4 linked regions of the Arabidopsis thaliana genome follow. The protein of the gene in region 3 purifies or fractionates together with the protein of the main gene of each other region. This does not show direct contact. Each region holds a gene or a part of one and is shown on either strand. Other genes may lie near its edges.

The links.
Region 1: the proteins of TAFII21 (region 3) and NRPB10 fractionate together in Arabidopsis thaliana (co-fractionation; one large-scale study listed by BioGRID). This does not show direct contact.
Region 2: the proteins of TAFII21 (region 3) and PKL fractionate together in Arabidopsis thaliana (co-fractionation; one large-scale study listed by BioGRID). This does not show direct contact.
Region 4: the proteins of TAFII21 (region 3) and PKR2 fractionate together in Arabidopsis thaliana (co-fractionation; one large-scale study listed by BioGRID). This does not show direct contact.

The regions. Positions count from the first base shown.
Region 1 is NC_003070.9:3,859,114-3,865,847, reverse strand, and holds NRPB10 (RNA polymerases N / 8 kDa subunit), read right to left. Parts: upstream 3,450-6,734; 5' UTR 3,329-3,449; coding exon 3,293-3,328; intron 3,090-3,292; coding exon 3,031-3,089; intron 2,265-3,030; coding exon 2,170-2,264; intron 2,069-2,169; coding exon 2,043-2,068; 3' UTR 1,774-2,042; downstream 1-1,773. Other genes in the region: AT1G11480 (eukaryotic translation initiation factor-like protein), read left to right, coding at 1-319, 414-592, 712-748, 834-895, 1,021-1,480; AT1G11470 (Pentatricopeptide repeat (PPR) superfamily protein), read left to right, coding at 5,326-5,470, 5,560-5,621, 5,729-5,974; UMAMIT26 (nodulin MtN21 /EamA-like transporter family protein), read right to left, coding at 6,580-6,655. UniProt on the Arabidopsis thaliana protein: DNA-dependent RNA polymerase catalyzes the transcription of DNA into RNA using the four ribonucleoside triphosphates as substrates. Component of RNA polymerase II which synthesizes mRNA precursors and many functional non-coding RNAs.
Region 2 is NC_003071.7:10,711,917-10,719,372, forward strand, and holds the start of PKL (chromatin remodeling factor CHD3 (PICKLE)), read left to right. Parts: upstream 1-2,148; coding exon 2,149-2,223; intron 2,224-2,491; coding exon 2,492-2,635; intron 2,636-2,729; coding exon 2,730-2,867; intron 2,868-2,957; coding exon 2,958-3,112; intron 3,113-3,214; coding exon 3,215-3,376; intron 3,377-3,644; coding exon 3,645-3,859; intron 3,860-3,950; coding exon 3,951-4,046; intron 4,047-4,153; coding exon 4,154-4,290; intron 4,291-4,383; coding exon 4,384-4,596; intron 4,597-4,686; coding exon 4,687-4,794; intron 4,795-4,955; coding exon 4,956-5,006; intron 5,007-5,096; coding exon 5,097-5,196; intron 5,197-5,327; coding exon 5,328-5,470; intron 5,471-5,585; coding exon 5,586-5,689; intron 5,690-5,787; coding exon 5,788-5,926; intron 5,927-6,179; exon of another isoform or gene 6,180-6,282; intron 6,283-6,683; coding exon 6,684-6,853; intron 6,854-7,228; coding exon 7,229-7,295; intron 7,296-7,383; coding exon 7,384-7,456. Other genes in the region: AT2G25169 (uncharacterized protein), read right to left, coding at 690-799, 998-1,062, 1,427-1,542, 2,015-2,098. UniProt on the Arabidopsis thaliana protein: Chromatin remodeling factor that represses the expression of embryonic trait genes (such as NFYB9/LEC1) upon and after seed germination and thus enables the developmental switch to post-germinative growth. Silences some MADS-box proteins such as PHE1 and PHE2.
Region 3 is NC_003070.9:20,213,399-20,219,769, forward strand, and holds TAFII21 (TATA binding protein associated factor 21kDa subunit), read right to left. Parts: upstream 1,868-6,371; 5' UTR 1,737-1,867; intron 1,488-1,736; 5' UTR 1,472-1,487; coding exon 1,211-1,471; intron 969-1,210; coding exon 678-968; 3' UTR 501-677; downstream 1-500. Other genes in the region: RSH3 (RELA/SPOT homolog 3), read left to right, coding at 52-363; SPL2 (E3 Ubiquitin ligase family protein), read left to right, coding at 2,082-2,453, 2,681-2,779, 2,868-3,029, 3,121-3,242, 3,425-3,544, 3,629-3,905; NF-YA5 (nuclear factor Y, subunit A5), read right to left, coding at 4,183-4,476, 4,591-4,764, 4,850-5,308.
Region 4 is NC_003075.7:15,428,753-15,439,249, reverse strand, and holds PKR2 (chromatin remodeling factor), read right to left. Parts: upstream 7,723-10,497; coding exon 7,603-7,722; intron 7,537-7,602; coding exon 7,379-7,536; intron 7,367-7,378; coding exon of another isoform or gene 7,297-7,366; intron 7,257-7,296; coding exon 7,083-7,256; intron 6,874-7,082; coding exon 6,659-6,873; intron 6,578-6,658; coding exon 6,482-6,577; intron 6,387-6,481; coding exon 6,250-6,386; intron 6,169-6,249; coding exon 6,010-6,168; intron 5,915-6,009; coding exon 5,807-5,914; intron 5,650-5,806; coding exon 5,599-5,649; intron 5,494-5,598; coding exon 5,406-5,493; intron 5,305-5,405; coding exon 5,159-5,304; intron 5,049-5,158; coding exon 4,951-5,048; intron 4,862-4,950; coding exon 4,723-4,861; intron 4,494-4,722; coding exon 4,324-4,493; intron 4,155-4,323; coding exon 4,088-4,154; intron 3,993-4,087; coding exon 3,879-3,992; intron 3,781-3,878; coding exon 3,671-3,780; intron 3,549-3,670; coding exon 3,467-3,548; intron 3,223-3,466; coding exon 3,028-3,222; and 21 more. Other genes in the region: AT4G31890 (ARM repeat superfamily protein), read left to right, coding at 10,201-10,497. UniProt on the Arabidopsis thaliana protein: Chromatin remodeling factor that represses the expression of embryonic trait genes upon and after seed germination and thus enables the developmental switch to post-germinative growth.

The sequences.
Region 1 (6,734 bases), about 16 Mb from region 3:
TGTGATTAGTCAAGGGGTTGAGCCACATGGAACACATGTAGAACGGGCACTGATTGCTGAAGATGGGATCCAGCGTGGGAAAAAACTCTCCCGTGAGTATGAGAAAATCCCTGGTCCAACTTATGTGGATGCTAAGGAAGCGAAAATTGTAGCAAACACCAACGATAAACCTCATCCAAAATACTCTGACGTTAAGCCTGCTGGACATTTGGTGCAGCCAACTGCCCCTTCTGAAGTTGTGGAAAGACCTAAGCTGAACCTGCTTCCTCGGACAAAACCACTTGAAAGTGTGGAGAAACCTGTGAATGACGAAAAACTGGTATAGTTGTTACAAGTTTCTGAACTGCCACTTTAGTTTTCAGGTTTCTTTTTTCCTCAACTATGTTTCTGATACCTCAGTTTTGTATCTGCAGGAAAATAGTGCTTCAGTCCTTATACAACGTGAAAATGCGACACAGAAAAGTTTCAACAATTCAAAATCTGGTTTGTCTACAGATGAGATTCCTAACCAGCCGGCTGAGCGGCCCAAGTTGAATCTGAAGCCTGTGGCACAGTTGCTTGAGCAGCCAGAAGTTAAAACTGAAAAGGACAGGTAACAATGTGGTACTTACATTTTTTTGTCCCAGCTCGGTAATAATTATTTTGGAGCTTGGGGACATAACTATAGTTATATAGAAGAATTGTTCTTAAAATTTGTACTGGCTGGTGCAGAAGTGCGGTTTTTGGTGGTGCCAGACCACGAGAGCTGGTGAGTGCAGTTTGTTTCATCTTGTTGTATAACTCACTCTTGTTATGTTGTCCATTTGTTTATCATCATTTGATTTCCTGGACAGGTGTTGAAGGAGAGAGGCATTGATGAGCCCGAGCATCACAAATTGGATCAACCGACAGATAGGTAGAACGGGTTTCTCTACCCACTCACATTCTGTGTATACTTTCTGCGATCCAACACTTACGATTCCATTGAGACCAACTATCTAATTTAAAGTTCTGTTTTTGTTTTTTCTTTTATATCAAAAGGATGGTCCTCAAACCGATTGAAAGAGTTCCAGAGCATGCAAGTCAAAGGCCAGTGAGTTCTCCACGTGACATGAGAACGAGGAAATTCGACCAAAAGGATGGGCGAAATGTAAGCGACATTGCCAGATCCGAAACTCAGAGGAGAAACTGGCGTGAAAATGAAAACAAGAGCGCAAGACAGCAACAGCAGACTCAGGAGAAGACAAGACATCCATCACCAGAGACATGGCGAAAGCCGGTTCCCCAGAAACTGGATTCACCAAATGGAACAGGGATTCGTCACGGAAAAGCAGCTTCTGCTCTTGAGCTAGCTCAAGCCTATTCTCCTTTCTCTGACCCTAAATCTGGAATTGGAAGCAGCAACAGTTTTAACAAAAGCCGCAACAACCAAACGCAGCAGCAACCCTTCTCTCGGTTGGTAGGATCGACAACAACAGGAAGACAGATTAATGGGTACTGAGTCATCGTTCGTTTGTTCTCTCGAATTGGTTTTAGTCCCGATTAATTGGATCTTAATAACACATCTTATGTGGTTTGGGATCGTTATTGGAGATTTGAATGTGATATGTTCCCTTAAGAACGGGGTCGGGTTACATAAGCCAGATATGATTACACTGTGTTCTTCATTCTTCTTTGGTTATACATTTTATTTTAACCGTTCGTTTGGAAGATTTGAAAACTCTTGCCCGAGCCTGAACACACTAAACAGTTGGACGATTCTGTTGTACTTGCGTTTTGTATACAAAAGGTTATGAAGACCAGTGACTTTTAACTCTTTTCTCAAAGGTTTTCAGTTATGGCCATGAAAATCACCTCAATAATACTAATGAAACATGAATCCAAAGGAGAAATCTTCAAGGTCAGGAAATCATGAGATTGAATCACACGAGAAAGTAACTGACACACATATATAATTTTAGATGGAGTTGAAGGGTCTACACCACATACACCAAATGTTTTCATACATACTAATATTTAAGCCTCTAAAGAGGAAAACTTTTTCAGCAGATTTGCATCCTCTTCTAACTGTTGTCTGATTTCTCCAGAGCTGCAAGGAAAAGTACGTGGGTACCAGTAAATAAATCGAAAAGGACAATAACGTCCGAGTCAAAAGATACACAACATATGATAAGAGTTTGGAGAGTATACTGTTGTAGTTGAGAAGCTTCTCAATCAGATCAACATGAGTCATTAGCATACGCCTGCAGCAGTATCTGACTAGCTGGAGTGCATCAAGTGCGTCCCTGCAAAATAATAAGGATATTGTAACTTCATACCTATTGAGGAGATTGAACAACACTAAGAGCCAAAAGAAAGACAAAACCAACACAGATTGAATATCTAGACACCAAGCTTAAATCCTTCTACAGGTGTAAAGAGAATCATAAGTCATCAAGCCTTCAGTCATACTTATAACAGTCGAGATAGAATCTACAACTAAACAAGATAGGCACAACAATAGTCTGTTCCAATAACATATAAAGAGCAGAGCATTAGCTTAACCCTATAAACGATTAACCCTTGGTTTGCTTCTCCAATAGCGAAATTGTTGAACTAATCCCATACTTCACACGTATTATGAACCATTCTCTCATGTTCAGACAAAGTATTCTATTTTCACACAAAGAATGATTAGTCCAATAAGAATCATGTAGATGGGCACAAGTCTAATCAAAAGACCTTAAGTCTTACTTTCTACTTCTATCAAATATCAATTGTATAGAAAATCTAGATAGGCACATAGAGATTATATAGGCAGGACATAGTCTCTTCCAATGACACAGACAGTAAAACACAAACACAGAAGATTATAAAAAGCTAACTCCTTCATCAGCAAATCTATTTTATAGCTTCTGTTATCAATTAGAGAAGTGTGTTAGCTAATATGAAACTTCACAGACCCAATACGAAATCTGGGCTAATTTCTCTAAAACGCAAAGCAATTACTCTCTTTTTGACACAAAGTATGATGATTAGAGCAGCAAGAAGTGAGAATCATTGTAAGCTTACCCTTCAGTGTAGTCGAGCTGGAGAAGATCAAGATACTGATCCCATTTGTTTCCAATCACCTAAACCAATCACAAGGTGAAAGCTTAGTAAAGCTCAATACTTTATTTCTCTAATCGACCCAACATGTATCCAACCGATTAAAAACATTCGTGTCAAATACAGAGAGTAAAGATCTCTTCTTAGCCAAATTTGGAGTAACTAAAACCCTATAAAGACGGAGTAAAACCCTAAATAAGACCAAAGCGAAGGGGAAAATATCAACCTTTCCACAAGTAAAGCAACGAACAGGGATGATCATCTTGAGCTAGTTGAAATCTGTACTTGCTCTGTCTCTCTTTCTCTGCTTGGGAATTTTAGGGTTTTTCGTTTCGTGCTTCTTTAAAAAGGTCAAGTACAACTTTGAGCTTATAACTGGGGTTAAGGAGGGCTTTCCTTAAACGACGTCGTATTTGTACGACGAGGCTTCCCCAAACCAAACGACGGTATCATTGGAAATGTGATTGACCAAAGTCAAACCCTCCCTCCGGTTTAAATTCGGTTCAGTTATATATAGTTCGATTTTTGTAGCTTGTAAGAAAATTTGTGATGGAAAACTGAAAGATACGTTCTTAAAGAGTTTGTTTCGTCTAATTATTCTTCCGTTTCTCCATTATTACCAACAAGATCAACATCTGACGGTAATTTAAAACTGGTATTCAGGTACTGAACAAGTCTGCTACATAAAAAGATTCTAGTTTAAACAAACCGACTCTGGTTAGCTCTACATCCCAAAACTCTAAAGTCTGCTGCAGAAGATTCTAATTATACTAGGAGTTAAGAAACTTCAAACACACTAAAACCCGTAGAGCTCTAAGTAAAGATGTTGATGCAAGCTTGAGCTAAATGTAACCTTCTAAGATAGATTCTGATACCTCTCCCTTGGTAAATTCCCAAACATGATAATAAAAGCATCCAGGAGACATTCATCTCGATAATAACGCCATCTTCACTCTTCAACCCGCTTTCAGTCAATGAGAGTTCATCTTCTTCAAAATCGTCCACCATTTCAGCTGAGTACAGATACCTACACTTTTCCACACCGGTATATTAGGGAAATGCATCAAACAGGTTACTTCTCTTAGAGTAAATGTCACAGTTTTAATCACTTTTACAAGCCTCAGTAGCAGATAAGATCAGGTATACAAAGACCTAAAACTGATAGTAGTAGACACACCAGAAGCACCTGATTGGAAAAGGTCGAGTAAACGGTAAAGAGAGATTGATATGATTACCTAGTTGGCTTTTGTGATGGAGACCAGAAAAAGCAGATGAGTACGAAAGATATCTATATGCACTGCCCTTAGTCTGTTATGGAATTATAAATCATCAAAGGACTGAAAGTATTGTTGGTTTCTTTATTCTTACCTTAAGCTTGTTAATGGTTGTCAACAAGGACCTGAAGATCCACTGAACACAGCAAGTTTCCAGTATAGCCCAAGAGAGCATTTTAAGAGTCATTTTCTCAAAGTGTTTAGCCAACGAGAGTGATTCGCTTATAACAAATCATAGCACACCAAGAAGCATCCTGAATGTTATGCCATTAGTGGTAGGCTTTACTATCCAATATCCACAAGTTATGAACAAAAGTAAAAGCCGAGACAATGCTTTCCTCGCAGAAGGAAAAGGTTATCACCCATACTGTAACCTCCACAGACCTTGTACCAGCGAGATAGGCGAAGTCAAAGTAGCAGTGGAGTCTTGAAACTTGGAAGCGTAAAGAGCTTCACTGTCACCGGGAACATAGAGACCGTTGGCAATTTTCGTAAATCTCAGCATCAGTAGTCTTGATCAAGCTCCCGATCAAAACAAGGAAAATTGCAGAAGACCCTAAACACTGGTAAGAGCTCACTCACTGCCACTGGTAAGCTTACTTCACTCGCTTAGAGAAGAAGAAGAAGGCTCGTGTCTACTGTGTGTGGTTGACCCGGGTCCAGTACTATTCAAAAAGTTCACACGTGTGTAGAGTTAGGGGTATTATAGACATTTCATCGTTTTATTTATTTTTACAATCTAGTAGACTGATTCATAAGTCAAACTGACAAATCGACAAAGATGTAGGTAATTGTGTAAGTAACCTACTAATATAAGAGAGATCATATCCTGATTTTAACAAGGCAACTTGATTGTTTTATATATTAGAGAATTAGGGTTATCAAAATTAGGGTTTGGAAAATGTTGGCCTTGCGCCGAATGGTATCATCAGGTTCTCTTCATCTATGGAAAAGAGAGATGAAGATCTCTACGCTTACGAGAACAATGGCTCCGTTTTCTTCTTCTTCTGCTGAGATTAAGATCGCGAGAACGGCTCCGTTTTCTTCTTCTGCTGAGAACAAAGGGAACAGGCAGATCAACGGAGCTTCTTCTTCTGCTTCCTCTTGTGATGCTGAGAATGCAAAGAGTGGTATTTTCAAGAAGCTGAGGTCTCTTACCCGAGAGACCTTAGAATTCATCATCGCGGAGGAAGAGAAGAAGGGTGTTCCCGTCACCCAGGCGGATCTCGTCAGCTCGGCAAAGCAGCTTACATGGAAGGCAAACATGTAGATGCTCTCCAGGTATCTTTCTCATCTATCTAACTTTTGTATTCATCGCTCTATTTCTTTTCTAGTTAGAGATCATTGTGTTAGGATTTATGAAAGTTTGTTTTTTTGGTTGTTGTTAGATCTTTATGTGGATGCATAGAAAGGAGATGAGTTTCTCTACCTCTGAGGTTGCACTCTTTGTGGATATCATTGGTAACACTATCGGCATAGCTGCTGCTCACTCCTACTTGAAGAAAGTAGACCCAAACTGCGACCAAATGCACAATCGTACCGAGAATTGGCCTGCTTTCGTGTCTCTCGTGAAGTTGGAGACTAAGCTGTTAAAGGAAAACGGGATAGTTCACGCTACTCGCCCTCCCAAGTGAATGATTAACTATTAATTTGGTCTGTGTCTGTGTCTGTGTGTGCGCGCTTTCTTATGTACTCTTTGTCTTCTCTTTTCATTTCATCTATTGTCGAATACCTTTTCATGTTATAAGCCTCTGAATTTATTATGTATCTCTTCTTAACTGGGTGACCTCTTCATGTTTTGCTTTGAAATAACAATAAGCCTTTGAATTATGTATATCTCTTCTTTACTGTGAATTAATCCAAGTAGAATAATATACTACTCTGCATAACACTAATACAACTGGTCTTAACTTTAATTAGGAATTTCAAATCTCATTTTGAATGCATCGACGTTCTTTCATGGCATGGCTTCCTCCATTTTTCATATAGTGCGCCTCTCGATGTTATTAGTTTATATATCATTTACCAATGGCACTTGTGAACTTTTCGAAAAATTACAGTCCATATCACATAAAATTACCCTTTCAGACTGTTTTAGCAACACATTGATACATTTAAAAGCAACACACACACAAAAAAAAAAAAAAATCCAAGAAACAGAGGTTTTGAAACTAAGAACAATAATACGACACTAATATTTAATTTTGGTCTTCGTTATTCATTAGAGAAGACAATGTAGTTATGCTTCCATATCTTTGTTCTTACCCCACAAGAACACGTAGAGACCTGTTATTGTCCCTACTGATCCAATCAGACTGTGTAGCAAAAGTTAGAAAATAAATTTTTTAATTAGTGTTATGATCGTGGACCTACATACATTTACATATATAAAGC
Region 2 (7,456 bases), on a different chromosome or scaffold from region 3:
TGGATTGATGTTGAATGACTCTAAAAGATATTGTTATGATACAACAGTATCTCAAAAAAGATTCAGACCAAATATTTTATTGTCTTAATTATTATTATTATTTTTTTTTTTCTATAAATCCGATATTTCCCCAAAAGCCAAAAGGGTGATGTGAGACCGTTATACTTGACATATTTTATATATTTTATTTATATAACCTATTTTGGATCGTTTCCAACTATAAGATATGGGGTTGATAATTTTTGATTGTACATGAAGATTTTGTGTCCTTTGTATTGTATTCTATAGTCGAACTTGGACCACGTGTAATAACACCGGAGCACGCATTTTATAAGCTTTATGCTAGTATCCATACGATTAAATTATAGTTCATCATCATTTGTTATACTATATATTGATGTCACATAATAATTCAGATTTAAATATGGTAATGTGTTTGTGAACTATCCAAAAAATTTCAAAGAAATATACCAAAAATTTAATAGTTAAAATCTGAAAACAAAGCATGTAATTTAAGCTACAATTGTTATTACATATTGTAAGGGCTACGCAATTAGTTCTTGACAGTTGGTTGACTACATAACACTTGCTGAAACCTACGTTTTAGCGTTGGATATCTCTCTATATATTTTTGGTCAATGTCGTTGGAGATTGAATCCTAGATTAAATCCTACAAGAAGAAGAAAGCTTCATGAGAAGAAGAAGATGAAGAAAAGAGAAGAAGCCAAGCTTGGAAGAAGAGAAGAAGAAGATGTCGTGACCAAAGGAGGAAGAAGAGAATAAGAAGTTGTCGTGACCACTGACCAAAGGAGGAAGAAGAGTCAACGACACAAATCCAACATAAGAACGGAGTTGGATTTGTGTTTTGTAATAAGGCCATTGGGCCGTAAGTGAATTATAGCCCCACAAGTGTTAGTGGGTTTGGTTGGTTAAGTTTAAGCTAAATAAGTTAAGGTGGATATAACAAACATAGTTGCACCAATGCATCTCAGCTCACCTGGTCTAAGCAACGGTTTCAAGAAGTTGCTCGCTTCTATTGCTCCACGCCTCCACAAGTAGCTCCTACACAAGAGTAATAACTCATTAGTATAGAGACACAAGATTATACAAGAAATACTTAGTAGACATAATTGTTCATCTCCAGTGTTAATCCTCAATAATTGTTCGATGCAGTATTCTTCTAATGAGATGAAAAATCATTTTTATAGAGTTACCACCCATCAAAACCATTTATACAAAACGTTTTACTTGGTCAGAGTAAAAAAATGCATACAAGTATTGTGTATAAATAAAAAGGTCATCTATTAATGTATAATCTGAATCAAAAAAAGAAAGAGCACCTGCACCAATAACAATGTGAATCTCATCAATGAACAAGATTGTTTGCCCATTCGAAGCATATACTTCCTTCAATATTGTTTTAAACCTTGTCTCAAAATCTTCTCCATAATTAGCACCAACAAGGAGTGAACCCACGTCAAGAGATTTCAGCTCCATGATAAATAGCGAAACCAAGCAAAGCATGTTAAATCTTCCTCTAGCCTCTTTGAGGGGAAAAGGTAAATAAACTTAAATATTTAAAAATATCTAAGTTTATATAATAACAATATTGGGTAAGTGAAAAGTAATTGTCATTATTTTTGACACTTATTTTTATAAGTTAGAAGTAATTATAATTTTTTCAAACAAAAAAGTAAGTTTTTTGTGTGTGAAAAAATAATGATATTGAGAAGGTAATTTAATTAGAGGTGATATTTTATACCTTAAGAAGTGTATTAAAGTTAATAATAACCATAAGTTAAAATTGGTAAGCTAAATGTTAGAAATCATTTGTGTTGTCTGAATTTTCAAGTTTCGTTCGTTTCGGATTACTTTCTTCTTCTGCAAAAACAGATCCCAACCATTTCAAAGGTTCGTCTTCTCCTTCTCTTCCACACTCTTCTCTGCTTCACTTTTTACTCTATCTTCGACTAGTAATATCGCTTTCGACTTCTCAAATTACTTCTCAAGTTACTATTTTTCTCTTCCTTTCTTTCAAATTTTCGTTACAAACTGAGTTTGAAACTGTTTGGGTTTTGTAAAGTTTTGATCTTTTCATGATATTGCGGTAAGAGATTGTTAATTCGACTTCTGGGTACTCACATTTCGATGCTCAATTGTTTATTCTTATGGGTAATTTTGGCTAGGGTTTTTTCCAATTTCTCTCTCGTTCTCTTTCACAAGGTTAGTCGATCTTGCTCATGTGGTATAGAGTTTGATGAATCGAGTTGTTTAGTAGCTATTGTACGAACTATCTCTTGATATAGTTGTAAAGGTTTTAGATTGGGAACAAAAAATTTCACTGTGATGTTTGTTTAGGTAGTAGAGTTCAATTGTGTGAAACTCTAATTTCATAGTTTGCTTAAGTCTCAGAACTAGCACTGAGTCTATTGTTATATGTGTTGTTTATGTAAGTTTGTTGTTATTGATGGGAGATATGTTTTGTGTGCAGAAAATGAGTAGTTTGGTGGAGAGGCTTCGCATACGATCTGATAGGAAACCAGTTTATAACCTAGATGATTCTGATGATGACGACTTCGTTCCTAAAAAAGATCGAACCTTTGAGCAAGTCGAGGCTATTGTCAGAACTGATGCGGTTTGTTTCTCCTCTCGAGCTTATTGTTCAGCTTTTACTGTTTTATGTGTTCTATTTTAATCCTTTTTTTTGTGTTGTTACTCTGAATTTGTAGAAAGAAAATGCATGTCAGGCTTGTGGGGAAAGTACTAATCTTGTAAGCTGCAATACATGCACTTATGCGTTCCATGCTAAATGCTTAGTTCCACCTCTTAAAGATGCTTCCGTGGAAAATTGGAGATGCCCTGAATGTGTAAGATTTTAGTTACGGTCCACAATTATGTTTTGGGATGCTACAGGTTCCATTTTTCTTACATGGAAGAATTGTTGTTTACATTTGCAGGTTAGTCCTCTTAACGAGATAGATAAGATATTGGATTGTGAAATGCGTCCTACAAAATCTAGTGAACAAGGTTCCTCCGATGCGGAACCGAAGCCAATTTTTGTGAAACAGTATCTCGTGAAGTGGAAGGGATTATCATACCTTCACTGCTCTTGGTAGTTACTGCGTGTCTTTTTTGCTGTCTGGACACGCTAATTATCAATGTTTCTTTCTGTGAACACTATAATATGTGATTTATTTCCTTTTACTAATCATAGGGTGCCTGAGAAGGAGTTCCAGAAGGCTTATAAGTCAAATCATCGTTTAAAAACCAGAGTGAACAATTTTCACCGTCAAATGGAGTCATTCAATAACAGCGAAGATGATTTTGTTGCCATACGTCCTGAGTGGACCACTGTTGATCGGATTCTTGCCTGCAGGTCTAGAGAATGGAATTAATTCCTTTATTTATCTATCTGCCAACTTTTTTTTTAATATCCTTGTTTTCAGCATAATCCATTCTCTAATAAACACGTATCTTTGATAGAGTGCTGCTTAACCTAAATTTACTGTTATCACGATTTTGGGTCTCTGAAACATGATAAATGACCTGCTTACCTTTTTTTTCTTCTTTTTAAGTTACCATTTTCTTAGTTGTTTCGTAAATCAGGAATTGTGACAGTTGCATTGGTTTCTTTTATGATATAGAGAGGAAGATGGGGAGCTGGAATATCTTGTCAAATATAAAGAGCTATCCTATGATGAATGTTATTGGGAGTCAGAATCAGACATCTCAACCTTCCAGAATGAAATTCAAAGGTTCAAGGATGTAAATTCTAGAACTCGCAGAAGTAAAGATGTTGACCATAAAAGAAATCCCAGAGACTTTCAACAGTTTGATCATACTCCTGAATTCCTCAAAGGTATTTGGATCACCTTAAATCATATACTATAAATGTTTCTTATATTTGGTACTTATAGATGTTATGATTTATTTGTTTCCTGCGATTGAAGGCTTGTTACATCCATACCAGCTTGAGGGACTTAATTTTTTGCGGTTCTCGTGGTCAAAACAGACGCATGTAATCCTTGCTGATGAAATGGGACTAGGTAATTTTTCAATTGTCCCACTTGGGTGGTCACATAGATCTTTTCATCCATTGTAAGGGGCCTTTGTTTTCTATTCCTGTAATGTTGTGAGATTTTTCCTGTTACAGGCAAGACAATTCAAAGCATTGCCCTTTTAGCTTCACTTTTTGAGGAGAACCTCATTCCGCATTTGGTAATTGCTCCTCTATCGACTCTGCGTAACTGGGAGAGAGAGTTTGCCACATGGGCCCCACAGATGAACGTGGTATGTATGCAGTTATACACGCAATGATCTGTGCCATTTGTATGTTTTTGTTGTTTGTTAATGGAATGGTCTTCGTGGTCATTTGACGGGTAGGTTATGTATTTTGGCACTGCGCAAGCTCGAGCAGTTATCAGAGAACATGAGTTTTACTTATCGAAAGATCAAAAAAAGATCAAGAAAAAGAAATCTGGACAAATAAGTAGCGAAAGCAAGCAAAAAAGAATCAAGTTTGATGTCCTCCTCACATCGTATGAGATGATCAACCTAGATTCAGCAGTTCTAAAACCAATTAAGTGGGAGTGCATGGTAACTCTTATTCTCTAATGAGACTTTACTTTCTCTTAGTCGTCTCTCTTTCTCTCTTACATGTTGCCTAGTAACAATTGTTTTGGGCAGATTGTTGATGAAGGTCATCGACTGAAAAATAAGGATTCAAAGCTGTTCTCTTCATTGACACAGTATTCAAGTAACCACCGTATTCTTCTGACAGGAACACCACTTCAGGTTCGTCATTTGAGTTTGATTTCTGAAGTTTATACTTTCAATAGTTGTATCTGAGCATAGTAGCTACGATTTGCAATGAGAATTGTTATATATTATCTTGCACTAATGTCTTACCTGATTAGTTGCAATATGTTACTGATGATTATGTGGTGCCTTTACAGAACAACTTGGATGAACTTTTCATGCTCATGCATTTTCTTGATGCGGGGAAGGTATCACAAGAATAGCAAAGATAAATAAGTTCGCATACTTAACAGAATTTTATGTAGCTAACATGTTATTTGATTGCACAATACTTGCAGTTTGGAAGTTTGGAGGAGTTCCAGGAGGAGTTCAAAGATATTAATCAAGAGGAGCAGATCTCAAGGTTGCACAAAATGTTGGCTCCACATTTGCTCAGAAGTATTAACCAAAACTATTTGTTCATCTTTTTTAATTTATATGTGTTTCAAAAGTTTGGTTGGAGGGAATCTTTCATAGTAATAATTTTATGATCTTAACCATGCTGTCTCGTATTTTGATTGCTCTTCCAGGGGTAAAAAAAGACGTAATGAAAGACATGCCCCCCAAAAAGGAGCTCATTTTGCGTGTTGATCTGAGCAGTCTGCAGAAAGAATATTACAAAGCTATTTTTACCCGTAATTATCAAGTATTGACAAAAAAGGGAGGTGCTCAAGTAAGTTCTTTTTAATTTTTGTTTACACTTTTTGGATCATTAAACCTCATAGGTGGGGTAGAAACCAGGTCAACTGTAATCGTCTAGTGAATGTATTGGTCTATTTCTGTTTCAGATTTCCCTTAATAACATTATGATGGAATTACGAAAAGTATGCTGCCATCCTTATATGCTAGAGGGTGTTGAGCCAGTTATTCACGACGCAAATGAAGCTTTCAAGTAATATCTCATTTCCCAAAAATGGTTATCTGTTTATTACTACTTATTAAAGTCGTCTGCTAACTTTTGCGTTGAACGTTTTCTTATATGTATCAAAGACAACTTTTGGAGTCTTGTGGAAAGCTGCAACTTCTAGATAAAATGATGGTCAAACTGAAAGAGCAAGGACACAGAGTCCTAATATACACACAGTTTCAGCATATGCTGGACTTACTTGAAGACTACTGTACCCATAAGGTATTTGAACTTCTTATATGTACAGTCTGTTTCAGTAGATTTTCATTCTTGTTGTTTTTGTAGAATATCATTTTGACACTGTAGAATCAACTCTACCATTTTCTAGTGTTAGAGTACTTAGGCACAATTATGGAAATACAAGCATGTGCTGAAATTGAGAGTATATGAGCATTCTGTGCCCAACTGAAAGAGCAAAGACACAAAGTTTCCTTATAAACACAGTACAAATCACAAGTTTAGCCATCTTCTATGTACAGTAGTTTTCCAATAGGTCGAGCATGTGCTGAAACTGTGTGTACAGAGTTCTCATAAACACACAGTTTCAGCATATGCTGGATCTACTTGAAGACTACTGTTCTTATAAGGTACTGAACTTGTTATCTGTACTGCGTATATACGAGATCTCTGTATTCTTGCTCTTTTATTTTGACACTTTGTTCTCATATACACTCGGTTCAGCACATGCTCGACTTACTGCCTAAGGATCTTGAAAAAGGTAGAGTTGATTCTATGTCTAGGTGCAATTACTTTCTTAGAATTTTTGTCATTACTTACTCTGTTGGCAATATAACTTCTTTATTCCCTCAAAGATTACTTTTTTTGGTTTCTTGAAATGCCATTATCAATACCATTGCTTTTGCTGACGCATGCACTTGAGACAACTTGTTTTTATCTCTTTCTAGCACATTTTTTTTTAACATGCAGTTAAGGAAAATTCTCATATGATTTACGCTGTTCATTTTCTTGTCTTTGTCAGAAATGGCAGTACGAGCGAATTGATGGAAAGGTTGGCGGAGCTGAGCGGCAAATACGCATAGATCGGTTCAATGCCAAAAATTCTAACAAGTTTTGTTTTTTGCTCTCCACAAGAGCTGGTGGCTTAGGAATAAATCTTGCAACGGCTGATACAGTAATCATTTATGACAGGTTTGAATTTCAGCTTCTCTTAGTGTCATCTGTACTCTTTTCATAGTTATTGTGTCAAGCTGTAAGAGGAACTATTTGGCTTGATAGCATAATATTTTGGAAGTTTAATGTTGATTTTTAAGTGAATTGGGTTGTGATGAGTGATAAAAAGGCACTTGGCTTTTTTCCAATAACAGCTATTTCTTGAACATGGATGTTCTAAGACAGCAGGAAGATCAGGAAAATTATTAACCGCTATCTTGCTAATAATTAGATTTTGTAGGCATGCAATATGGGTGGCGTCCATGGGATCCTGCTTGGATGGCAGTTTGTTTTGGTTTACGCCTGTTCACATTTTCATACGTACGATTGAAACTGTTTTATCTGTTTCTGTAGTGACTGGAATCCTCATGCTGATCTTCAAGCAATGGCTAGAGCTCATCGACTTGGCCAAACAAATAAGGTTTTAAATTTTATCTCTTAGTGCTGTCAACTTGCAATTTTGTGTTCTTTTTTGTAGTTTCCCTAATTTTCCTTATATTTTCCTTTAGGTGATGATTTATAGGCTCATAAACCGAGGCACCATTGAAGAAAGGATGATGCAATTGACTAAAAAGAAAATGG
Region 3 (6,371 bases):
TGAGGATGTTTCTTTGCTTGGAGTTATAATTTGATAAACCCGAAAATGCAGATGACTGTGCAAGAGTTTCCCGAGAATTCTACCGTGTCGGACCTGTTACGCAGAGCAGGACCAGGGAGCTCGAGATGGTCAATGTACAGCATCCCGGCAAAGGAAGAGCTAAGGCCAAGACTTAACCAGACACCTGTAAGTGATCTGAAATGCAAGCTGAAGATGGGAGATGTGGTGGAGCTGACTCCAGCCATACCTGACAAGTCTCTGACTGAATACAGAGAGGAAATTCAGCGGATGTATGATCGAGGGCTTGCGTTTTCACGGCCTCACCGTGCAGCTACTGGTACCATGGTTGGCTGGGGAAGCTAACTGATTCTCTTAATTACCTTTGTTCATGTATATATACTATAGTTGCATATATAGTATAATGCTTCAGAAGATTTGTTGTACCTTCGGTATTGTTGATTCCCACACAACAGTGTATATAAGATATGCCTATATGTTCTAAAAAACTGACTCTGGTCATTAATATTTGATTCTCTTACATTCTAAATCTTCAAACCACACATCTGGATCTGGTCCATAAAAACTGGCTCTGGTCATTAATTTTTGATTGTGTTACATTTCTACTTGTTGATACATAAATATTATAGATTTTTTGGTCTATCTACTTATTTGGGTACTTATTTGGGTCGTCTAGAGAGTGGGAAAGAGACCCTTTGAGGAGTTTGGCTTGGAAGGTCTGAGGTTTGTTGTTGCTGCTGTTGTTGTTCTTGAGAGGACTGTCCAGGATCTGTCATTTCTTCATCGTCCTCGGTTTCTTCAGGTTCTGTTGAAACCGACTTCTTCGGTATCACGAGCTGATAATTTGGGCTCAGCAATGTGTCCTGTTCAGGTGGGAGTGGAACACCGGGTCCTGCTATCGATTTTGGCAGAGGTATCTTGTTCCTACTTGCAGCAAGCTCAAGCAGAACCTAAATCAAACATCAAAAACAGAAACTTCAAGATTCAGGAACCAAAAGGCATGGATGTGACAGACAAAAACTTGAGGTTCTCAGTGATACAATTTATGAGGCAAGAGGGTCACACACAGTTCATAAGTCATAAGTAAGAGTGATAATTCCCTAATGATTCACATATACCAAATGACCGATCATATCGCATCTCTTCTCAGACAATGAAGAAGAAGAAACATGGAATCGTCAACAATGCATACCTCTCTTGGAGGAGGCTGTGAGAAGCTGAAATTAACTTTGGATTGAATAGCGAGCTTCACATCATCACAGTCAATGTTGGGTTTGCTAGCATGCTCTGAGTAAACCTGAGCATCTGTCAACACTTCGACCACATACCGGTACCATAACTCCAGAAACTGATGTATCACACGAGGCTCGTAGTCTTCTACACCCATCGACTTAAGCAGAGATTTCACAATCTTAGCATCTCTAGGTACATCTTCTTCACCTTCTCCTGCCATGTTTATCCCTAAACAACTAAAAAAAAAGTAAAGCTACAGAGTCAAATTAAGAACCTTTCTTATACAGAATTGATGTTGCAACAACACAAGTTTCAATCGAATCTCACAAGCAAACATCGTGTAACAGCAACACATTACATAAATCGAATAAATAAGAATTAGAGCTTCACGAATCGGAGATAAGAAAGACAAAGGAGATTCTAACCTAGCTTCATCAATAAGTTCCAAAACACAAGATTATATGCCATAAAGAGGCGATAAATACCTAATGCGAGAGAGAAAGTTTGGTGGAGAGCTAGTGGCAGAAACACGACGGAGAGATTGATGAACGGCGGCGAGGAATCGGGAAATACTAATCTCTGCCACTCTAGATCTGATATTTATGGTTTTGGTTTGTAAATCTGCTGTAACGTTGAGGGTGTAAATGTAATTTAACTAAAACGCTATTTATTACTAGTATTTTGTATTTCACTCGTGCATAGGCCCATTAAAGACCCAAATTAGAACGACGGTCGAATGTATAATATTAAATACCGATAATAGCCTCATTTCTCTTCCGTTTACTTGTCCGTGTGACCGTGTCTACGACGTTGAAATCGAAATTACCACAATGTCCTCGCCGGAGCGTGCTCTCTTGAATCTATTGACGGACATCGCTCTCTCCTTCGACGGCGCAATCCTCGGACTGACTTTAGCTGTTAGCGCCGTCGGTTCTGCTCTCAAGTATGCTTCTACCAACGCCGCGTTGAAGAAGATCAAAGATGCACCCGAAGTCTCCATTTCCGACCTCCGATCACTGCTTCCGGCTTCTGAAGACAAATCAGAGACTAACGATAACAGGAAGAGCAATGATCAGCGAATCGTTGTGGTTCGCGGAGTCGTCAAACCGAAAATTTCCGGTGATGAGGGTTACAAGAACAACAACGTGTTAATCTCTCCGGAGACTGGAGATAAAGCTCTTATCATTCAGAGAACGCAAACTGTACGTTGCTCTAAACCCTAAGTGTTTATGTTTCCCTCAAATTGCAATTGACATTGACCTAATTTTGCTTTGTGTTCTTATCAAAGGCTTAGGTTAAAGAGTTTGGATGATTTCTTCATGATTAGGTGTTCATTGTGATTGATTAAGTTAGGATTATGTAAGTTGGTACTGGTGTGATCTCAGAAGGGAAATGTATGTTTCTAATGTCATCATTTTGTTGTTGACAGTATGTGTATAGTGGATGGAAGAGATTGTTTCAGTCCACTGGTCACCGGTTTATGTTGGAGAGATCATTGCGCAAACACGGTGCTGATTTTACGAGAACGGTAAAGTCTCTCTATCAGCTTCAGAGCTTTCAACTTTGGCTCTGTATCCATGATCAAACTTGTTTTGTGTATCCTTTGCTTTGTGCAGGTCCCATTTGTCATTGTTGGAAAGGATCAGCAATCGAACTCTAGTTTTGTCGCTGTTAACATGGATGGCTCAAGGCAACCTCTTCCGCTTACCACTGTGTATAATCGCTTGCAGCCTATTAATTCTTCGTTTCTTCAAGCCTTTTTGTACCCCGATTATCCTGTGAGTATATATATATTCAAAGAAATTTCTGGTTTTGAGGAACTGATGGTTACTTGTTCTTGGCTAACTTTGTAATCCTTTCTCTTCCAAGGTTGGTCTGCTTGATATAGAGAAGATTTTACCACCTGGGAAAGATATAACAGCTGTTGGCATCTACAGTTTTAATAATGGAGTTCCTGAAATCAAATCGTGCCAAGATCTTCCTTATTTCTTGTGAGATTTTATCTGAATATTTTTCGTTCTTATATATCTGCCTGCGTTCTAGCTCAAATTATTACTTCATCTTCTTCTTTATGTTTTCTCAATCTGTTGATCATTTGACAAGATTTAGTCCATTGTTGCAGAAAGGCTCTATTTGCTGTTCATATATAAATCTTTATGAATAATCTTTGCAGATCAGAGATGACCAAGGACAAGATGATTGAGGACCTTATGGAACAGACCAACTTTATATTCTTGGGCAGCGTTATCTTGGGCATTGTGTCTGTTGGCATCCTTAGCTATGCTGCTGTCAGGTACTGGAGTTGTGAGAGATCAGATTTGGTTTTAGATTTGGGCAATGTTTCGATTTGAAATCTGTTTAACTGTCTTATCTTCAGGACCTGGAATAAATGGAAACAATGGAACCATCAGAGAGAACTGCCACAGAGACCGAACGATTCTGTGGTCGATGATGAACCCGAAGATGCAGATGAAATCCCAGATGGAGAATTGTGTGTGATCTGCGTGTCAAGAAGGAGAGTACCTGCGTTTATTCCCTGTGGACATGTAGTATGTTGCAGGCGATGTGCTTCAACCGTGGAACGAGAGTTAAACCCTAAGTGTCCAGTTTGTCTTCAGAGCATTAGGGGATCTATGCGTGTATATTACTCTTAGTGACCCTGAATCTTCTCTCATTGTATGTAATAGGGTAATGCAATTTGTACTCTCAGAGAATCGGAAGTTAACAAAATAGTTTGACAATGATTTGAAAGTTCGTCAAGTCACTCAATATAGAGTGAGAGATTGTAGAGGATATGAAAGCAAAGTTTTTAAAAGGAAGAAATTTTGTAACCGATAACATAAGTAGCCAAGGATGACTTCCCGTCATGTATCATCACCAGTCTCCGGAGTTTAGCCTGAGTTCTCTCGGAGCAAGGTCTTCTCATGTGCCTCAAGTCCCTGACATGAGAGCTGAGGCATGGTGTGTTGACGGATAACCTGAGAATCTGAACTGCGGGTTTTGGAACATGTTGATACAGTTTGAATTGGAGCTCGGTGAGATCGAACTAGACCCGATTCCGCTTCCACCACCGTGAGGGCTCATAGAGAAATTTTGTCCATTTGCCATTTGAGAAGAACACAGTGAGTTTGATGATTCTTGAAGCTTCTTTGTATTGAGGAAACGTCCACCGGAGCCTCTAGCTCTCTTTAAAGCATGAAGATGGCGAGACTCATGAAGGTACGGCTACAGAAAAAGAAAACAAAACTTTATTACATCAAATCATCAAGATCTTCTGAGTTAGTTTTCCCTCTTTCTCTTTGGTGTTTTAGGCAAAATGGAAAGTGAAAACAGTCATACTTTACGGCATTTGATGAGTTTGTTCTGAGCTTCGAGTTTAGCACGGTGCTTCCTGCGACGGAGAATCGCATGATACTGTTTCGCATTGACAAATATTGGTTCATTCTCTTGAATGTGATGAGGCAATGGCACTCTTGAAGAAACCAAACCCATCATCTCTAAATGTGGCAGCGCCTGCAAAAAGATTTCCCAATCAACCAATCAATGCGCCAGATCGATTCAGAATAGTAAAAGCACAAAAGGCTTCACAGCATATTACCGTTGGTGTTGATGCATATTCAGGAGCCAAGAAACCATTGAAATGTGACGTTTCAGCACATTGAAGAGACCAAGATATTTGACCAGAAGTAGGAGCAGGAAACACAGAGTCTTGAGACACCATCGACGAGGTAGTAATTGACTTAGTATAATTTTCAATAGGCTTTCCCAAGTTTTCGATGTAACCTGAGAGATTGTTATTAACAATGCTGCATCCATAACGCTTATATTCTCCAAAGCTTGCAACTTCACCGCCGCCTGATTCTTCTTCAGTAGATTGTGATGAGGTTGAATCTTGATTTTGCAGCTGCAAACCCGAATGTTTCATCGCGGGTAATTGTGTTGTAGACATTATCATATCCTTAGTCAAGCTGAAAGATTCAGATCCTTGAATATTTGAATTTGTTGTAGGCATTGAGTTTCCCCAAGATGAATCTTCTTTCCTTTGAAACACTTGCATTGTCTTCAAATCTTTACTTCAATAAACTAAATGTCCAAACCAACAAGTCCAGTCATAAATCATATGATATTATTCATGATCCACATAATCAACAAATACAAGAGAGAAATGATACCAAAAGATTATAAAAGCAATCCTAAAACACAGATTCCAGGTTCAATGACACAGTAAGATTGTTTCATGATCTAAAGGGTTCCAAAAGATTCAAACTTTGAACATGGCTAGAACTTACACAACATGCAAACAAAAACTAAAATCGACAGATTAAATTTCTGAGTTTGAACAGATAAAAAAACTCATCAAATCTCATTGAACTTAATGATCCAAGAAAACAGAGAAACCAACCAAAAGATTTTTTTCTCTCATAACTCAAAAATTATTATTTTTAATTATATCATCATAAGTAGAAACTGAGCAACCAAATCATAACATCACTACCAAATAAATTAAGCGAACAAGAAGAGAGAGAGAGAGAGAGAGACCTTTGGTGCTTTGGATTTGGTAAGAAGAGATGGAGAGAAAAAGAAGTTAAGTAATAAGCTTGAGATTATGATGATGATGATGATGATGAATGATGATGATGATGCATGTCTCCTTCCTCAGAACATGGTTGTTTCTTTCTCTTCACTATCTTTCTCTCTCTTCCTCTGTCTCTGCAAATTGGGTATTGGCTATGGCTTAAAAGACTAATCTTGACTCCTTTTCTCTTTTTTTTTTTTTAATTATGGTTTTCTTCTCTCAACAAATGCATATTTATTCACACACAATTTATTAAATATTTTAAAATATTATTTTGTTTCCATTTCTGAATTTATTTGCAGAGTTTGACATTTCTATTTGTGGTATTTTTTCTTATCTTTGTTTATATTGTTTATGTTTCAAAAATTAAGTATATCGAATCAAATCGTGTCACGTAGTGCTTTTATAATTTTCAAATCAGGTTTAGTTTTATTACAAAACAAAATAGAAATATGTAGGCAACAATAAATAATAGAAAAATCTAGTAAAAGATAGATATAAATTTAGAAGTGTGACGCGTGTATAATCTAGACAAGGCTAGAAA
Region 4 (10,497 bases), on a different chromosome or scaffold from region 3:
GTTTGGAAGTTGGAGTAAGCGTGGATTTAAAGCCTTTCTCTTTTGTCTCTTCTTTCCCACCATTTTCCCTGTTTTCTGCAGCTCCTCTCTTTTTCTCTTTTTGTATTTCCCATTTCTATTTCTTTTGTTTCTTAATTTTACTAATATATCCTATAGAACAATAAATACGATCAAATCCAACCTAATTGATATGGTTAGGGAATGTTCTTTCCATGTATATCTAAATTAGAGAAATCAACAGTTTATATAAATATATGCATATGTGTGTCTTGGGTTTTGAGAGAGCTCAAAAGACGTTTCTTTGGTTCAATTAAAAGAAGATGATCATCACCCATGAAGTATTTTTAATGCAAAAGACATGCAATGATAAAGTTTGGCATTAACAAAGATATTAGTGGGAAATCATTTTCTATGAACTCATGGTGTTTGGAGTTATTTCAAGTTGTGTGTGCTTGTTTGATCAAGAGTAGTAGATTCAATCTAGTTTAAACTAATACTTATCCGATGAAAAAACCCAAGATGATCATAACTTCAGTTTCAATTAGTTTCCATAATATATTTGGTTATATTTTGGTTCATATACGCTTTATACCTAAGAAACTATAAATGGACAAATATGATACTCTGCAACTCAAGACAACTACGCTGTATGCAAACAAATTTAGCAAAAGGTAACTTAGTAATTAAAATTCAGCAAAAGGTAACTTTGACAAACAAAAAAAAAAAAATCAGCAAAAGGTATCTTAGTAAAGAAAATCAGCCAACGATCAACACAATCATGAAAGAAGTAATAATGATTTTTGATGTCAATCCAGCACAATGATGTTATCCGCTGCATCCATCTCTACATCATGATCTGTCCCAACGCTTAGCCTAGTGCTTATTTCCTCATTGATAGGTTCCAGAGGCTTAAAGCTCTCCCTCGGCATTCGATTCAGCGGTTGAATATCTAAATATGTCTGGAATGACTCACCTGACTTCTCATTAACACTCTGAAAATGTGTGGAGAAAGATAAGTTAATATGGGTTCTTAATGTAACTATATATCCACGAAAATAGGAATGTGTTTGTTTACCTGATCGTATGATTGAGCCATTTCAACTCTGCCTTGCTTGTTGTCAACGGCAGTTGCAGAATTTTTTTTTGAAGCTGCAAGATTAAAACGTTTCAGTTAGAACAAGAATCTAAAGAAATATATCCATTAGTAACTGTAGAAACTTATCAAGACACATACTGATGGGATCATTCTTAAGCATTTCTTTTTCTGCATCAACAAAGCTTGTTCCCTTTGTTTCAGCTTTTGCTTGTTCAGCAAGTATCTTTTCCTGCAACGAAGTACCAATATAGATGAACAATGTAACAATGTAGTAGTAGCATGAGAAGACAAAAGATTAAAATTACTGAGTCGGCACAAAATATTACGTACTGCGTACTCATACTTTATGGCATCCTCCATCTTCTTAACCCGTTTTCCCACATGGTCACAAATTCTTTTACGAGCAGATTTAGTATCAGGAGGGAAAGGGATATTCAGGTCTTTGCAGGCAACCTCTTGGAACCCTATCTCTTCGTCTTCAACGATGGCCACCCATCTACCATAGCCATGCCTATATTTTTACAAAGTTTCAAGAATGGAAGCAACATGCATGTGAGCAAACAAACAAAGAGAAACAAAATCAAGTAAGGATAATCGTTGAAGGGTTCTTACTTGGAAACAGCAGGAATCAGTATCCTATCATGTTCTTCCTTAGAAAATGCTCCATTTCTCAAATTGTACTTACTGATGACGTAGTTAGAGAAAACAGGTGCTGTCGGATGGTTGTCCAAAAATTGACACTGTCACATCAAACATTGAGAAGTGAGCTCAAACAAACAAGAGAGGACCAAACCAAATTTTATCAAACGAGAAACTTTCAGATATATAAACCACATGCAAAAACTTTAAGAAAGAATGCAATGAATCTTCTCAAGTTTTGGTTCGGTTACTAGTGCTAATAAGTAACTGTTTAAATTCCATAGACACTGGAAAATGGTAGGCTTACCTTCTCCTTTACTAGCATCATAAAAGTCATGCTCACTAGTAGCTCGTCACTGCTTATCCCTTCTTTGGGAACTCCATCTGCATAGACCATTGCCGTAATAACTTAAAAATATGATAACAGAAATAAGCAATTGGATATATCTAAGAATACCAACAAACATATAATCAATAAAGTGATAAATTACCTTTAAAATTTGTAGAATTATCGGTAGGGTTTTCGGCAATGTGTTTCAAAAATAAGATTCCATACCTGAGAAACAACAAATTTAACAAGTGTCAATGAACAACTGTTGGTTTTTGTAAAGCAGCTGAAAATAAGAGCATAAATGGCTTTAAGTCGTCAATACTTATTTATCTCGTCATAGGTCTTCATGTATAAGGGATTAACAAACTCCTTCCAATCAAAGTTTCCAGCTCCATACCTACAAAAGTTGTTTTGAGACACTTATGATATACTATGATGCTTTGAGAGACGCCAAACCACAATTTAGACAACATTATTAGAAAGAAGATATACCTCTTAAACGTACGTAAAAATATATCCCTCTCAGTCTCGTTAAATCCCAGCACCATGAGATATCTCCCTTCGCCTTCCATCAAAGGTATTTCCTCCGAATTATCTTACAGCAAAATAGATTTTCAAAGTTACTTAACTTGTAAACCTCTGAAACCAACAAGATGTCATCTTCAATGCAATATTTGGAAAAGTATAGTACCGCGAGCCCTTTTTCTGTAAGGCCTTGTAACCGTCCTCGGCTTTCTCTGTCGAGCTGCTTCGGGTTCATCTGCTTCCTCCTCCTCATCAGAGGTCACTTTTAAATCATCAAGACAATATTCGTCCTCCTCATCAGAGATTTCTTCTAAACCATCAAGATCATCTTCAGCATACATCACCTAGTAATATTAACAAAAGCAGGAATAAGAACACTTGTGCTAAAGGACATAAAACGATTCTGGAGAGGTGGGATCAAGAAGAGTATACGTACCTGCTTGCCGTTTCTCTTCCTCTTTCCAAGAGCACTGAGCTCCTCAGCTTGTTGCACTTCATATTTGTCTTTCAGCAAATCTTTCCAGTGACTTGTTCTATCAGCATTTCTTACTGAAGAATTGTTTTCTATAGCTTGTGCCTCCTCTAATGCTGCAGCCTCATTTTCATCATCTACATACTCAAAACTAGCCACCTAATATACAGGAAATAACATCAAAAAGAGAAATTATATTTGGAATTAATGCCACTAAATATATGTGTATAACTTAATATTGCAGGAAAAAAGGGTGTATATATATGCATGCACATGCACATGATGATTCTTGTAGCATATCCATTGAATTATTACTCTCTAAACAATTCTCTGGACCTTAACAAATATTGGATCATCTGATCAATAACCACTCATCTAGAAAGAGAAAGAGAAAGAAGTAAACCTTGAAATTCTTTAAAAAATCAGTTTCCTCCTCATCATCCAGTGAGACCTCCACAGCATCTACATGATTACGATCTAGCAACCTGCAGAAGAAAAGGTGTGGCTACAAATCATGAACATTCCATGCAATTGTATGGTGGCTTTGAACTATTAAAGTAAAATCACTAGGAAAGTAAAAACAAAGAAAGAAAGAAGAATATATTACTGTTCGATAGCAGCATCATCGTAATGGATTTTTCCAGACCTCCCTGCTTCATCATTCTCTTCAGAGAAAAGTTCCTTGGAACCATATTTGATGATGTCATCTAACTCGTCCTAATTACAGTCAGGGATAGAAAACAGTAATTAATTAAACCTTGTAGCAATAAGAATCAATAACAAATCGAACAAGGAATACATATATATATATATACCTGACAAAGATGTTGTTTTCCCACGACGAGATGCTCTAGAAGCATCTTGTTCTTGGTTATCTCCATCATCCGTTCTTCTACAGTACCTTTGTGAATCAGTCTGTAGATCATTACCTAAATAAGAAAATATAGGCTTAATCAGTGACATAGCTAGAAAAAGAATGAAATAGCAAGTGGATGATTCCACATTGACGCCATGAAAAGAGAACCTTATTTGTTTGGCCAAGCCGATGAACTCTAGCCATAGCCTGGAGATCAGCATGAGGATTCCAATCACTACAACACCAGTGAAAAAATCATGTCAATAAATTCATCACAACCATCTTAAATGCCTCTACAATATCTTTCCGCTATTAACTTAGAAGATCCAAACACTCTGTTATTCTGGAAAGAAACTTCCAACAAGCACTTTATCATTTCATTAAACAGATATTGGAACTCAAACCTGTCATAAATGATGACTGTATCAGCTGTTGCAAGGTTTATCCCTATTCCACCAGCTCTTGTACTGAGCAAAAAACAGAACCGGTTCGAGTTTTCTGCATTAAACCGATCTATTCTTACTTGCCTCTCAGGTCCACTGATCTTTCCATCAATCCGTTCATAATTCCAATTCTGACAAAATAAAAATAAATTTGTTACGGCTCAATATCATACAATAGTTTTTCCTTAATTGCATATAAGCAAATTATAAAAAGAAAGTTACTGTTCCTTGCGTCTCAAGATATATTAAAAAGTAACTTTTAAGTGGAAGGAAAAGATTATATCGCAAGTCATTTGCAGAGCGACAACACCAACTGAACAAATCAATAGGTCGACAAACAGATATAGCAGATTAGGTTACCTTGAAAGTGAAGTAGTCTTCCAAAAGGTAAAGGGTGTGTTGGAATTGGGTATAGATTAGCACTCTGTGCCCCTGCTCTTTGAGTTTGACCATCATTTTGTCTAACAGTTGCAACTTTCCGGAAGCTTCCAATAGTTTTCTTTAGAACAATTCAGAAAAGGTCAAGCAAAAGTCAGCACAAAATACTAAAAAGGAATCAATACGTCAAGATTAGTGATCAAATGTTACGTAAAAGCTTCATTTGCGTCTTCAAATCTTGGCTCAAAGTCTGGTAACAGATACGGATGAGAGCAAACTTGGCGTAATTTCATTAGCACGTTAGATATCTGAAACAGTTTAACCAGCCGAATTATCCTACCAAGTACAGTCTAAAAGGTTCCTAAACCAAGACAATATATATACATCTGCATAAGCACAAGAGATCCACAAAACTTACTTTAGCATCTCGTTTCTTTGTCAAGACTTGATAATTATTGGTAATAACAGCTTTGTACACTTCTTTTTGCTGGCTGCTCATATCAACACGCAAAATGAGCTCCTTCTTTGGGGGCACCTTATCCTTGAGCACGTCTTTCTTTAACCCTGCAATAACAATAAAAGCAAGATTAATCACCATGGTTATAGTTATCCCTTGGTGCGAGACTTCAAACGAAATGTTCTTAATAAGATTTGTTGGTTAATACTTCTGAGCAGATGCGGAGCCAACATTTGGTGGAGTCTTGAAATCTGCTCCTCTTTATTTATATCTTGAAACTTCTCCAAACTCCCAAACTGCAAGCATGGAAAATAAAATAATTAAAGCAAGCTTGTATGCTTATAATGACTATTTTAGAGAATAAACTAAACTTATTTTATATGCGTTATCTTTTGGCTAACCTTGTCCGCATCAAGAAAATGCATCAGAGCGAAAAGTTCATTCAAGTTGTTCTGAAAAAACACCAAATAAGTATTAGTGATACAAAAGAATTGATACCATAATAATTATAGTACTATTTCAGAGATCATAACTAATTAGGTAAACTTTAATGTAGGATTGAATGAACCTTGGGAAAGTCGAAGAACCAAAAATCGACTAACGACGAACCTGAAGTGGTGTTCCGGTCAACAGAACGATATGCTTACTTGTAAACTGACTCAATGAAGAGTACAGCTTTGACTTCTGATTTTTCAACCGATGGCCTTCATCAATAATCTAACCAAGAGAATGATATTCTAAGCAAAATATGAGATCTAAAAGAAAGACATACAAAGTATATAGTATCATTCAGATAATTAATACAGAAATACCATGCACGTCCACTTGATTGGACTCAGAACTGATATCCCTGGGTGAACCATCTCATACGTCGTGAGCAAGACATCAAACTTACTTTTACGCCCTTCAGAGAAGTAGAACTCATGTTCCCATATAACATCACGTGCTTCCGAATCCCCAGTGTACATAACCTGCATATATCATACGATGAAAACATTAATAAATAACTAATACCGTATATGTGACATATATATACGAAACATGATACATACCACATTCATATGTGGTGCCCAGGTGGCAAATTCCCTCTCCCAGTTACGGATGGTTGAGAGAGGAGCAACAACTAGATGAGGAGATAAGTTTTCCTCGAACAAAGAGGCCAAGAAGGCAATGCTCTGAATAGTTTTGCCTGCAGCAACCACAAAACCAATCTTATTTTACACAAATGATAAAAGCAAAGCCTATGAATAACCCCAAAAAAGAAATGGATTTTTGAAGACGTACCTAGTCCCATTTCATCCGCAAGGATTACATTGGTTTTCTTGGACCATGAATACCTTAGGAAATTCAGCCCTTCGAGCTGGTATGTATGCAATGTGCCTTAAAAACATATAAGGTAAGTAAATCAATAACATTATACAGAAACTGTATACAAATTGTTCAAGTAGTCTAATAAAATACCTGTAAGAAATTCAGGAGTAAGATCAAACTGTTTGAATTCCTCTCGATTTCTCTCATTTTCGACATATTTATCTCTACGAGAGCTAGAGTTTATATCCTTAAACCTTTGGATTTCATTCTGGAAATCTGAGATGTCAGATTCAGATTCCCAGTAACTATTTCTGTAAGAAAGTTCTTTGTACTTCACCAGATACTCCTCCCCATCATCTCCTTCCCTACATCATATCACAAACAAAAAAACCATAATTGTCAAAACGAAATCCATTAAGTGTCACACTTTTCTACACAGAAGATAGAGAAAGAAATATAAACGCATGAATAAATAATCACAAAGGAAAAAAAAAAAAAAAAAAACATAATTGTCACAACGAGGTCTATCAAGTTAAGGACATAAAAACAAAGGACAAGACTTGAATCACTTAACCGGCAAGCAATAATCCGGTCAACAGTTTTCCATTCAGGACGAATGGCGATAAACTCATGAGCTCCGTTCTCAGCGATGAATACGTCCATAGCAGCGTTAAACCTGGTCACCCTTAATTTTAGTTTTAAATGAGGATGGGACTTGTAAGCCTTCTCGAACTCCTGCTCGGGCACCCTAAGAATTGACATTAATAATCAAGTGATGATAAGATAACCAGACAAGAGAAGCAACAAAAACATAATAATCGACATGTTTAATTAAATACAACACGATATCGCATATTGCTGGGAATTTACCAAGAGCAGTGCAAGTACGATAACCCCTTCCACTTCACAAGATATTGTTTCACGACAACTAGGGTTGGTGTCCCGTTGTCAGAAGAATTCGGATTGTTAGATGCAGTAGGACGCCATTCACGGTCCAAAATCTTTTCAATCTCGCCAAGAGGACAATCCTGAAATGGATCAAATAATTAAAAGTCACTGCAGATCTATAATTTCACAACAAGACAAAGACATACCTGGTTACTTCCGCCTGTTTCTTCAACTTGTTCTTCACGAATGTATTCATCCAACTTGTCTTCAATATAATCTGGCTTTGGCCCGGTTCGTCTACGAAGCCTTTGCAACAGATTAGCCATTTCTCTGCATGAAAAAACCACAACAATGTGTTTGGTCAGTAAATATGATTCATTAAATTTTTAGATAAAATCGTAACAAGAAAGAGTGAAAAGAGAAATATCTCAGAAAATCTAAGACCAAGGAGGAGCGTACAAGATGAAGAAAATGCAAGGGAGCTAAAACGCAAGAGGGGTGATTCTTAAGGATATGATAAACGTCTGTTTATATATATAGAGAGGGAGTGGTCATTATTCTTTATTTCCTTTTAATTTTGTTTTATGGAGATAACACTACCTTTTTTTGTCAATTTCAATGTAAAGGTGAATTAATTTGTAACCAGAAGGGGATGCAGATGTAGTTGTGGCTGTGAGAAATTTTTAGAAGTGAGTCCTAGTGGTTTTTGTGAATGAAATTGTACCTAAAACCGTTAAGATTACGCGGCAATTTTGAAATTTCAACAAGAAATTCGATGATGATTTAAAATAAAATTATCAAAATAACCATATATTGAATAATTAAATATTTAAATATCATTAAAACAAAAAGTTATTTTATTTTATTAGTATAAAAAGTTGTTTGATTTATTAAGTTTCCTTGACACTGGTCAAACTATAAATTTATATGCTTACCAAAAAAAAACTATAAATTTATATTGTATATATACATTTATGTAACATAATTAAAAAATATATATCATATTTAGGGAAGAAATTAATTTAAAGTTTTTTTTATTTAAGATTCTTTGTCTGAATGGGTTGACCAGAAATAAGATTTAAATATTTAGTTATATCTTTAGTATCTAAAGATATGTGTCTGAAAACAAATAAATGAAACTTAAATAAAAATCTATTCAATGCAATATAATGTGATTTGTTTCTATAGAATAAAACAAATATTAAAGAGAGGCATGCAAATGGTAAGTATGAAAAAGGTTATAAAAGAAGAAGGAAATAAAGATTAGATTCATGCACTGTAATTTTGTTTAAAAATTAGCATTATCTTGAGTCTTGACCACAAAACCAAAATTAGTCGTCCGTTACAAATTGGAAAGGGATTTGGTTGTGACCAATAGTATGAAGATGGTTTACTTAGTTTCCAATACTCTATGGACAAATGGTGCATTTTTGTATTTGTTAGTTTTTTTAAGAGGTCCACATTTCAATTGATTAACGCTTTTTAAATTAACTAACACTTAAAAAAAGTTTTGTTACAAAGTATTATATAGATTTTAATTAATTGTAACAGCAAAAGCTTTCATAGCTCAGTTGGTTAGAGCACCCGTTTAGTAAGCGGGAGGTCTTGAGTTCAACTCTCAATGAAAGCAAATTTTTGTTATTTTACAATTAAAATCAGTTTTGTTCATTTTTATTAATCTTTAAAATAGATATGGTGTGAATGTTTCTCTTTATGCTTGGGCCTGTGGCCCTTTTTGGGCTTTGAAAAGCCTTGTAAGTTGACATAAAATCACGCTTATCAATTAGAGAATTATTAAAATATCCACCGAAATGTTTTCGGTGATAATGGGCTTTGAGTGCGTACCAGTAAAAGAAGGTTGAGACTTGAGAATAGCAATTAGCAGCGATCTGACCAAACAACACAACACAGTTAAATCATTCTCGAATACTTCCACTGGATGTCCACTGTGCAGCATGAAATTTGCATATATTTATTTTTAATTGATACAAGTTATTTTAGATGTTTATTGTATTTTTTTTGTAGAGCCATCCTAAAATAACCAAACCTTACGAAAAATAAATAATACAGAAACGTATCCAAAGGGGTTCTTACTCTTTAGAAAATTACTGAAATCAATTGTAGAAGAGCCTAAACATTGATTTAAATTTTGGTTTCTCGGTGGTTTTGTTGGACCATTTTTAGAGCTATAAACTTCTTCTAGAAATTCTTTTTTCTTAAAATGAAATATATTGTGTGTTATAGAAAAAGAATCATAAACAAAGCCCCAATAGTAGTAGCAATCTACTGATTTAGTATCATCAAAATGATGGGACTTGTGTAGAACTGTAGAAGCTTCCCTGACACACATTTTGTAAATTTTGAACGGTTGAAATTAGTGATGGCCTCACTCACCCCTCTCTTGTACTTTCACATTTTCTCTTCAAAGAAAAAAAAACAATTTTCATAAACGTTATCAATTTAAAAAATCATCAATGAAGAAAAAAGCATATAGAATTGACTTAAAATAATTGATAGAATAGCTTATCCGCGATTTATTATAAGACTGCATCCAAACACAGTTTTTTTTTTATTCTTTGATAAATCAATAAGTACTGCAAATTTTTGTTCTTTATAAAAAGAAGTAATCAACAGTCAACATTCGCTCTGTTTTCGCTTCCAAATAAACAAACAAATAATTATAATTCTTTCTTACAAAAAAATAAAAAGATATATATAAATCTTTCGCACTCTCTCTTTGCTTGTTGGTGGTGCATATGTAGTAAGTAGGTTAAGCTTAAAGAACTGATCGGAGAATCACAACCATGGCTAAATGTCACCGGAATAATATCGGATCTCTCATTCTTGACCGTGCTCCTTCCACTTCTTCTTCTTCTACTTCCGGCTACCATTTCCGTCTCTGGAGCACCTTCTCTAGATCCACATTCCGTAGAAAGATCGTCGACGCCGTTAGTTGCGGCGGTAGCTCACGTTACCGTCACGAGCTCCGGGAAGAGGACGATGAAGGAAGTTACGTGACGGTGACGGCGAAGTCAACAGTTGCATCATCGAAAGATGCGAAAGCTAATACGATCGGCGCGGCGTTGAACGGCGTAGCGTTC